Linked DNA regions of Arabidopsis thaliana. The protein of the gene in region 1 purifies or fractionates together with the protein of each later gene. This does not show direct contact. Each region holds a gene or a part of one and is shown in the gene's direction. Other genes may lie near its edges.

The links.
Region 2: the proteins of MGT4 (region 1) and sks18 fractionate together in Arabidopsis thaliana (co-fractionation; one large-scale study listed by BioGRID). This does not show direct contact.

The regions. Positions count from the first base shown.
Region 1 is NC_003074.8:6,818,761-6,824,056, forward strand, and holds MGT4 (magnesium transporter 4), read left to right. Parts: upstream 1-2,165; 5' UTR 2,166-2,208; coding exon 2,209-2,640; intron 2,641-2,926; coding exon 2,927-3,139; intron 3,140-3,217; coding exon 3,218-3,346; intron 3,347-3,492; coding exon 3,493-3,653; intron 3,654-3,729; coding exon 3,730-3,961; intron 3,962-4,056; coding exon 4,057-4,344; 3' UTR 4,345-4,707; downstream 4,708-5,296. Other genes in the region: AT3G19630 (Radical SAM superfamily protein), read right to left, coding at 1-158, 248-347, 458-627, 980-1,084, 1,217-1,351, 1,429-1,539, 1,660-1,914; AT3G19650 (cyclin-like protein), read left to right, coding at 4,783-4,853, 5,168-5,296. UniProt on the Arabidopsis thaliana protein: Magnesium transporter that may mediate the influx of magnesium.
Region 2 is NC_003070.9:28,454,214-28,459,503, reverse strand, and holds sks18 (SKU5 similar 18), read left to right. Parts: upstream 1-1,975; 5' UTR 1,976-2,115; coding exon 2,116-2,253; intron 2,254-2,378; coding exon 2,379-2,488; intron 2,489-2,561; coding exon 2,562-2,832; intron 2,833-3,044; coding exon 3,045-3,147; intron 3,148-3,244; coding exon 3,245-3,605; intron 3,606-3,708; coding exon 3,709-4,074; intron 4,075-4,156; coding exon 4,157-4,235; intron 4,236-4,314; coding exon 4,315-4,524; 3' UTR 4,525-4,723; downstream 4,724-5,290. Other genes in the region: AT1G75800 (Pathogenesis-related thaumatin superfamily protein), read right to left, coding at 1-479, 561-615.

The DNA.
Region 1 (5,296 bases):
CAAGCGCCGCTAATATCCTGACCCATTTCTTTGCGAATTGTAGTCCGGATCTTGTATGTTTCCCTCAGGATTTTCTGGAATCTTGACACGCCTTGTATGCTGCTTGTTTCGAATTGGCTTGTGGATCCAATTGGATTAAATGGTATCAAATTTATGACCTGTTCAAGAAAAGAGCACAGAGTTTCCATAAAAAATATCATCAGATAATTGCAGAACCTTTAAGAGTATTAAGACATCGAAGATTTACCACTTGAAATGTCTTTAGCAATTCGCCTAGTAGATGAGCGTGCTGCTCTTGATCATTTACTCCATCAAGCATTATGTACTCAATGAAGATCTTTTGTTGACTGTTAAATCCAATGACAATGTGGCATAATGTTATAATCGTCAATGTAACTGAAGGGATTGTGGTTTTAATATTTAACAGCAACGAACCAGTCAAGAGTACATGAACTACCTGTTCTTTTGGAAAGTTTGAAGTGCATCCATAAGCTTTTGTAAAGGAAAGGCTCTAGCTGCTGGCATGATCTGGCAGCGGATTTCTTGAACTGGTGCATGGAGGGATACTGCTAAACTTACACCGGGTAGATCATTGTGTAGCTTGTTAATTGCGTGAACAATTCCGACCTATGCAAATGACATTAGGATACAGGGAAATTTATTTGCTAACTAGTAAAAAAAAGTGTCAACACAGGCAGCATTGCATGATTTAGATTTATGCCTGGAATATACGGTACAAGCATTACGGAAGGACAAGGAAATCAGAAGAAAATCCCAAAACACCAAAATTTAAAAGTAACCAACTAGACAAAAAAAGCTGAAAGATGTCTTGGAAGCTGCATACTGCGAGGTTTAATGGATTGAAGTTTATCTATCAGTTCCCTTTATCAAATTCCATAATCTAAAGTATTCCTACAAAATTCAGTGAATAAGTTTCTCTGTTTTACGAATGTTTCAAGGTAGCTTTCTGAGTACTTACAGTTGATATGGTAATTCTTTTGGGCGACAGCTGAAATGGTTGGTTTAACATGACACGAACAGCTTCAACAACAGCATTGTAGTTATTTAAAGGTTCTCCCATTCCCTGATCACAATCATCAAACCAAGGCAACAACTGGTGAATAAAATTCATCAATGCAGAGTATATAAAATAAATAACCATAAGGCAAGGTGCACATAGTGTAGATAAAATGCAATAACAGAAGCAGAAATATACCATGAAAACGATGTTGCGTATATCAGCAATGCGAGAGGCGTGAACAAGCTGCTCCACAATTTCTCCAGATGTTAAATTGCTTTTAAATCCCATGGTACCAGTAGCACAGAATGTGCAACCCATCTTACAACCAACCTATTGATAAATACTTTCACATCACATGTCTTTCATTCGATAAAACCAAGATAACATTGCGTGATAAAAATCAATACCTGAGATGAAATACATAACGTAGATCTTATACCTCCAGGACGTGGTTTCCCTCCTAACATCCCCAACCGAGTATCGTATCTCATTACCACAGCTTCCACAAAAGCTCCATTCTTCAATTTCAAAACCAAAAGCAAGAATCCAATATGAGTTCGTCAGGAAACAGAGACATTACAAGTTTTTCAGAATCCATAAAAGCAATGTGTTGTATACAGTAACAGAGTATAGAGTACCTGGAGCTTGATGAGAAGCTTTGAGGTGGTGCCATCGGAGGAATGAAATAGCGAGTGAAGAGACGAAGTAAGAGTCTTGAACTTGGAATGGAGAAGAGAGTATGCAGCGGAAGGCAATGAAGGAATCTCGTCCCAAACGCAATCAGGATTCTGAATTACATACTTCCAGATTTGAATCGCGAATTTAGGGTTTATTCCCGCTGATTCAAATTCCGATTTGATTTCCGAAGCATCGAACACCGATTTCAACTTCATCGACTCTTCCTTGGGAATTCTCCGCTCGCCGTCGCCGATTTTAAAAGCCCTAAACTTTTAAAGCAAATCCCCTCCGTCACAACAAAAATTCAAAGAAGAAGCTAAAACCGGTTTGGTTTTTGGTGGAAAATCTAAACCCGGTTTGATTTTGATATTTGGGGGAAAAGTAAAAACCGGTTTGTCTTAACCGTTTTTGTCCTTTGTGGTGGACGAGCCGGAATATAAATTCCCCAATTTTCACTTCCAACATTCCTCAGCTGCTCGATCTCTCTCTGATCACAACAATCATAAGCGATGAGAGGAGCTAGACCCGATGAATTCAATTTTAGTACGAATCCATCAACGCCAAACACTGGTCAGCCGACACCGACGTACCCCGCCGGTGTTGGCGGCGGCGGCGGTGGAAGGAAAAAAGGCGTTGGCGTGAGGACGTGGTTGGTACTTAACTCGTCAGGGCAATCGGAGCCGAAGGAAGAAGGGAAACACTCCATCATGCGGCGAACGGGATTACCGGCGCGTGATCTTAGGATTCTCGATCCACTGTTGTCGTATCCATCTACTGTTTTAGGTAGAGAGAGAGCGATTGTCATCAATTTGGAGCATATCAAGGCAATCATCACTGCTCAAGAAGTTTTGTTGCTTAATTCCAAGGATCCTTCGGTCTCACCCTTTATTGATGAGTTGCAGAGGCGGATTCTCTGTCACCATCACGCCACTAAACCTCAGGTAATTGGAGAATTTAGGGTTTTCCCACTGTTCATTTGGAGCTCTTTTTGTTTATTCAAGGAGTTGGCTTTTGTATTGTCTCCTTTTGTTTGTGCCTAATTGCATTGTTTTGGAATTGGGAAGTAGAAATATTTTCGCTTGACAATGGAATATGTATATAATAGCTAATGTATTGTTGAGACATGGTTGACTATTTGATTTGTGCAATGGTGATGATATGTGAAGATTATGGTTGTCAGTTTAGCTATGGTTGACTATATACTCTCTTTGTATGTGTTGTGTAAAGGAGGAGCAGAACTCTGGGGGAGAGCCTCATACGAGGGTAGATCCTGCCCAAGGAGAAGCTGGAACGGAACAATCTTCTGGGGATCAAGGGAGTGAAGCCAAGAAGGATGCGAAGCAAAGTCTTGAGAATCAAGATGGATCGAAGGTTCTTCCATTTGAGTTTGTTGCTCTGGAAGCCTGTCTTGAAGCTGCATCAAGCAGTTTGGAACATGAGGTAAATACTTATGTTAAGGCTCTGAGACAAAGCATATTTCTTCTCTTGTTTGGTATTTGATTCATTCTTCTAATGTAGGCCTTAAGATTGGAGTTAGAGGCTCATCCAGCCCTGGACAAGCTTACTTCCAAGATCAGTACCCTTAATTTGGAGCGGGTTCGACAGATTAAAAGCAGGCTGGTTGCAATAACTGGACGTGTTCAGAAGGTGCTATGATTCGGACATTAAAATGGCTCCTTTGATATTATGATAAGGATTTATCATGTTTCCTTATAGATGTGAACCTATGACATCACCATATTCTAACCACGTTTGCCTATACTAATAACACTTTTTCTCTTTACATGTTCTAGGTGAGGGATGAGCTAGAACATCTGCTAGACGATGATGAAGATATGGCTGAGATGTATCTTACAGAGAAGTTAGCTCAGAAACTTGAGGATTCGTCAAATTCCTCTATGAATGAGAGTGATACCTTCGAGGTTGATCTTCCTCAAGGAGATGAGGATGACAGGCATGTATCAACTTTCTGAGCTTGCAGTACCTTCTATTGTTCTGATATAAGTTTAACATCTGCCTTTTTACTCCAGGCTTCCTCCCGAATTTGCATCAGAGGCTAACAGAGATGGAAGGTATCTTCAAGCAAATGATGCTCACGAGCTTCTTATGAGTACTCAAAGTGCACTTAGCAGAAATAGCCGTGGGACTCACACAAGCTCAACCCGGAGTGCCATGACCAACAAATTAGATGTGGAAGAGCTTGAAATGCTTTTGGAAGCATATTTCGTGCAGATCGATGGTATACTGAACAAACTATCAACAGTAAGTAAATAGACCAGATGCTTTGGTACTCTTTGTCGTGATGATATCCTTCTTCTAATACATTGTGGTTTTTGTTGTTGTTATGATGAAAAAAGCTAAGGGAATATGTGGATGACACGGAGGACTACATCAACATAATGCTAGATGACAAGCAGAATCATCTTCTGCAGATGGGTGTGATGCTAACAACAGCTACTCTGGTGATGAGCGCCTTTATCGCAGTTGCTGGTGTATTTGGTATGAATATAACCATAGAGTTGTTCACGGATAATAAACATGGTCCAAGTAGATTCATTTGGACTGTGATTGGAGGTTCTATCGGCAGTATATGCCTCTACGTTGGTGCCATCGGGTGGTGCAAGTACAAGCGCCTTCTTGAATGAGTCGACCAACAACATATTGGGAGAGGAGAATAATGTCGCATTGCCACAAATCTATTTAAGCTAACAAGACTTTTATGTATATCCTTTGTTCTTGAGGATCTTTACTACTCTCAAACCTTTTTTTATCCGTCTCCTTCACTATTTGCATTTCTTTCGATTTAATAAAAGAGCAAATTGCATAGTTTCCTTCTTGCTTATTTCGACATCAAAATTTAGATATAGACTGATTAGAGAACCGGATTTTATAATGGTATCGCAGATCGTTTCTGTGCACAATTCTAACTTATGGGGTTTTTTCTGATACTTGAAGAAATATAAGGCGGAAACTGTAATATTGAGGAAATTGACAATTTCTGACGGGAAAATTAGATAAAATGTTGCAGGCAGGCGTGGGAAGAGAGAAGAGCAAAGCCCTAAAATTTCTTCGGTGAGAGAAACATGTCGACGAGGCGAGAAAGCAGAGATTCAGACCCTAGACGTCACCGTTCTAGAATCGATCGCGAACCCAGGTCTTCTTCTTCTGGAGATTCCTGCTCTATCTTCATCTTCTATTATAACTTTGAAGCAAATAAAATTCGGTTTTGAACAACGAGGAAGCTCATAGTGTCTTTTGTCTAGAAATCGAAATGAAAGCTGAATTTAGTGTTGAAGTGATTGTTTTTTGAATCATCCTATGTTGATCTGTCTACTCTAATTTGGTCACATTCACTCTCGAACAGTGGAGATTTTTCTGAAGATGGTCAATTTTACTGATAGGCACAATTAGTTGATTTTGGTAGCTTATCACAGTTGTACAACTAATCATTTATGTTTTTGTCTTTAGCCCTAAGAGATCAAGAAGAGATGGCAAACCTGAAGCTGAACGAGTTCTGAGTAAGAAGGATTTGGATGTTAGAGATGGTACTGACACTGAGAAAAACTCACGTCAGTCTTTGAGAGATGCTCCATTGGA
Region 2 (5,290 bases), on another chromosome or scaffold:
TTGTTTACCTCTGCCGTCTAAACTCGTCACTTTAAGCTCCGACGGACACGAACCGTTCAGATCTACAACGCATCCGGTGCTGCTACAGTTTAAACCCGAGCCTCCTTGTGGAGCCACTAGCATCGGGACGTTGTAACCGTCGACGAGACTAACGTCGTAGAAATCGAGTCCGTTAGATCCGTCTAGTGTGAATTCCGCTAGTGTTGCTGGTGGTGTTGCTCCGGATCCGGAGCATTCGAGGGTACCAGATCCGCAATCTCCGGTGAGACAAGTGAATTTTCCGTCGGTGTCGGTGGAACATTGAGTTCTCCCCCAGAATCTTCCTCCCCATGAAGTTGGAGCGCTGATTGTTCGTTCTTCGCCTTTTTGGAGAACGAATCCGGTCGTCGGAAGTGGTGGAACTCCGGCGTTTGATAAAAGTCCAGGCCAGACTGTGTATTCGCATTTGTTCACCATAATGAAGCTCGTTGATCTAACTCCTGTTTATAAAACCATAAAATCATCAGAATCACAGTATTATTAATCATAACTAAAGTTGATCTATAGGAGAAGATTCGTACCAGAAACGAACAAATGAGAGAAGATAAGGAAGATCAATGGCAACGGAAGAGCCATTGAATTGGAGAAGAAGAAGATTTAAGGACTTTAATTGCTCTGTTTTCTTCTTCTTCTTTATTAGTTTTATTTATGAAACAGAGACTTAAAAGAGGATTCTGAGAGCGAAAGAGAGATGAAGAAGAAGATGTGTGCTTTATAGTAGAAGCTTTTTTCCTCTGTTGGTGAGAATCTGGTGTATGTGTTGGTTGGTAGCTTATGGTACGCCTGCTTACGTGGACACATCTAATTGGTTATTTTTTTTAACCGTTGAGATTAAGAAAAGCACCTGATGATTTTATATAGTAAATTTTGTTGTTTAATCGGTTCATAGTTCATAATTAGCACTATACGATAATGGGTTAGTCTGGTTTTTAAATAGTTAAATTACCACTAATTGTTGTCCGAGTTTGATTGATAACATTTTAACGAAAATATCCAATTACCTTTTGACGTTCACTTTTAATTAAAAATATCTACAAAACGTAAAGTAGATCTTTATTTTTCAAGATTCTTTAACTTTACTGTTTAGTTACGTGATTAGGATTTGTAACCACGTAGACGTGTAAAACAAAATTACTTTTTTATCTGTGATTTATAGGAATTTGAGATTTGAATGCAACGTTGTTGTTTCATCTAACAATAAGTGATGAAGAACTTCAAAAGTCTAAAACCATATCATTTATAAAATCATCATTTCATTTTCAGAACAACTAGGTACGATTAGTGGACGTTTCAACGTCTTTCATGATAATCGCGGGCCATGTAAATTATTATATTTGAGGAATGAGGATCCATATAATATCTTGGCTATATAAAAATTATTTATTTGTTCAATATAATATCTTTGCGTTTTATTGATCAATTGCAAGTTTGCAACGATATACACCAGGAAAAAAAAGGAGAAACAAAATTCATTTTGCTTATACGTATGTACTATGTACATTTCTGTATACTCAAAGTTGTTAGATATTTTGTTGTGGAAAGTGATAATGTTGTTACTTTTTACTGTTTTTTAGGTGGTGTGAACTGTGAAAGTTTGAAAGATACAAAAGTGATGAATAATTTTTCAATAATTGTTTTGCGTTGTATTATTTTTTGTAGGAGTAATAGCGACCATCTTTGTAATATTGTGTAGACAGACAGGTCACATCCACTTTACAATATATCGTAAGCAATTGCCATCGTCCTCCCTCACGTTTTTTTTTTCGTCCGTCACATTACAATAAGATATTTAATGGGCCTTTATGCATGGTTTAGTATAATGAATAAGCCCAGCAAATTTTAACAAAAGCACAAATGTGCTGCCCATAAATTAGGTTGGAAATGCAGATTGCATGAACTTTTCGATCATATTCAAAAAACATAGCACAAAACAAACGTTAACTCCAAACAGAGTAACAATAGTTGTCGTCTAATTAATATATTGTTCCAAAGAAAAATATGTAGCTACGTCTTGCCTCTAACACCTCTTTTTCACATCACAAGCATCTTAAAATTTCTTAAATCACTCTTTTCGCGATGAGACATGTCTTTGTCGAGGTGTTGGTTCTGATCTCTTTGGTCATCTTGGAGTTGAGCTATGCGTTTGCACCAATCTCATCGTATCAATGGGTCGTCTCGTATTCTCAACGTTTCATTCTTGGAGGCAACAAGCAGGTAACCATTTTCATTTGAATATGTTTTTATTTGTTACAATAATATGGTTTTAGCTATCTTATATGAAATTTCAGATGCATGATCAATCTATAGGTTATAGTATTCACCAAAAAAAAAATCTATAGGTTATAGTGATCAACGACATGTTCCCTGGACCGATCCTTAATGCAACAGCAAACGATATCATTGTCGTTAACATTTTCAACAATTTGCCCGAACCCTTCCTCATGACTTGGTATATATTTTCAACTTTTTGTTTTGGGTTAATTTTAGGAATAATTGTTATTAAACCTCTATGTAAATTAAAGGAATGGATTGCAATTGCGGAAGAACTCGTGGCAAGATGGAGTTCGAGGGACAAACTGTCCCATACTACCGGGGACAAATTGGACGTACCGTTTTCAGGTGAAGGATCAAATTGGAAGTTACTTTTATTTTCCGACCCTTCTACTTCAGAAAGCTGCCGGAGGATACGGTGCTATTAGAATCTATCCCCCAGAACTTGTCCCAGTCCCATTCCCTAAGCCCGACGAAGAATACGACATCTTGATTGGAGATTGGTTTTATCTCGACCATACAGTATGTTTCTTTGATAAATTACCGTATTATCATCAAACCTACATTCCAATACTATCCTTTTTATATATAAAAAAACTAATTTTGTAGATCATAATCATTTTGGTTATTGAGTTTTATCTTGCCCATTTATTGAATGTGTTATTAGTTTCATTGTAAAAGATGTTTTGCTTGATTTGCATAATTAACACTTGGTTTCCAAATTTTGGTGTAAGGTTATGAGAGCTTCACTTGACGCTGGTCACAGTTTGCCAAATCCTGATGGTATTCTTTTTAACGGGCGTGGCCCTGAAGAGACCTTCTTTGCATTTGAACCAGGTGAGTTTTTTTCTTCTTTTAAAAATATTACATTATATCTTTAATAATGTAGTTTACACACAAATGTTCTTTTTATGTTGTCTATATATAATCACAGGCAAAACATATAGGCTAAGAATATCAAACGTGGGTCTCAAAACATGCTTAAACTTCAGAATCCAAGACCACGATATGCTTCTAGTTGAGACAGAGGGTACGTATGTTCAAAAACGTGTTTACTCGAGCCTGGACATCCACGTAGGCCAATCATACTCTATTCTTGTCACTGCCAAAACCGACCCGGTTGGAATTTACCGGTCTTACTACATATTCGCCACAGCTCGGTTCACTGATTCCTACCTTGGCGGTATAGCTTTAATTCGATATCCCGGTTCCCCACTTGACCCAGTCGGACAAGGTCCACTCGCACCTGCTTTGCAAGATTTTGGTTCCTCAGTTGAACAAGCCCTTTCCATTAGGTAAAGAAATACTCTTTTTTTATACCAAAGAATAAAAACTTTTATATGAAATATTTCGTTTAGTATTTGTTCTTGACTAATAAACGTTAAGTGTACGACACAGAATGGACCTGAACGTTGGAGCAGCAAGATCGAACCCTCAAGGTTCGTACCACTATGGACGAATAAACGTAACCAGAACGATAATATTACATAACGACGTTATGTTATCGTCGGGCAAACTACGGTATACGATTAACGGCGTTTCGTTTGTCTACCCCGAGACTCCGTTAAAGCTCGTTGATCATTTTCAGCTAAATGACACGATAATCCCTGGCATGTTCCCGGTTTATCCATCCAACAAAACACCGACTCTTGGAACTTCAGTGGTCGATATTCATTACAAAGATTTCATCCACATCGTGTTCCAGAACCCTCTATTTGGATTGGAGAGTTATCACATCGATGGTTACAATTTCTTCGTTGTCGGGTAAAAATTACAATATTTAAATCATAATTATGTGTATGATGATTAAATTAGGTGTACTAATTTTATTTGAGTTTAATGTTAGATATGGATTTGGAGCTTGGTCTGAAAGCAAAAAAGCTGGATATAACTTAGTAGATGCTGTTTCACGGTCAACAGTTCAGGTTAAGCCATATCTAATCTCGTAATTTAAAGTATTAAACCAGTGATTAGTTTTGGTTAATTGATTCTGTGTGTGTTTAGGTTTATCCATATTCGTGGACAGCAATATTGATAGCTATGGATAATCAAGGAATGTGGAACGTGAGATCACAGAAAGCAGAGCAATGGTATCTTGGTCAAGAGCTTTATATGAGAGTTAAAGGTGAAGGAGAAGAAGATCCTTCGACTATTCCGGTTAGAGATGAAAATCCGATACCGGGAAATGTCATCCGTTGTGGCAAAGTTCGATAATAATTAATTGTCTGAAATAATAAAACCTAGAAAAGTCTATTTTAATTAGCAAAACTAAAGAACGGTTTAAAGGAATGATCAGAGAGTATTAGGATCTGTGTTGATCTTAGGGTTTGTGGTTTGATTGCGATTCGAATCACTTGTGTAATTGCAGAAGACGGATGGTAATTTAAAGAGATGATCTTAGGGTTTGTGGTTTGATTGCGACTAAAGACTACTAGACGATGCCGTTTTAGATTTTAATGGGCTCACACAGTTGTTATCTGCAAACCGGCCCAGGTCTGTTTTGACTTGGTGAGTGCTAACGTGCTCTATAAGAAGATATTGTAGCCACATACGAACAGCTAACGTGCTCCCATTTCCTCTATGTTCCCTTGAGTGACATACGTTTTCACAATAAGTTGGGAGCAAGTAATTTACCAAGAACAAATATATATTTTAAAAAATATAGGATCCTTTTACAAGTTCAATTATTGATTTTGACGTTACGTATAAACAGTAGATCGACCATGACATAAATAAAAATGAAAAAATAATTGGATCAAATCTCAGATCTTACTACAGTCTACATCTACCTAGCTACATGTGCTATGGCATTATTTGTTTTTCATGTTATCATCAATATTGTATAAAAGATCCAAACACAATCAGTGTGATGATATTTTTCTATACTTTTGATCATTCAACCGATTTCAATTATTGTGTTTGATCGTTTACATAGAAATAGGTACATATGCATTCAAGATCTCCAGATCGTTTATTACGT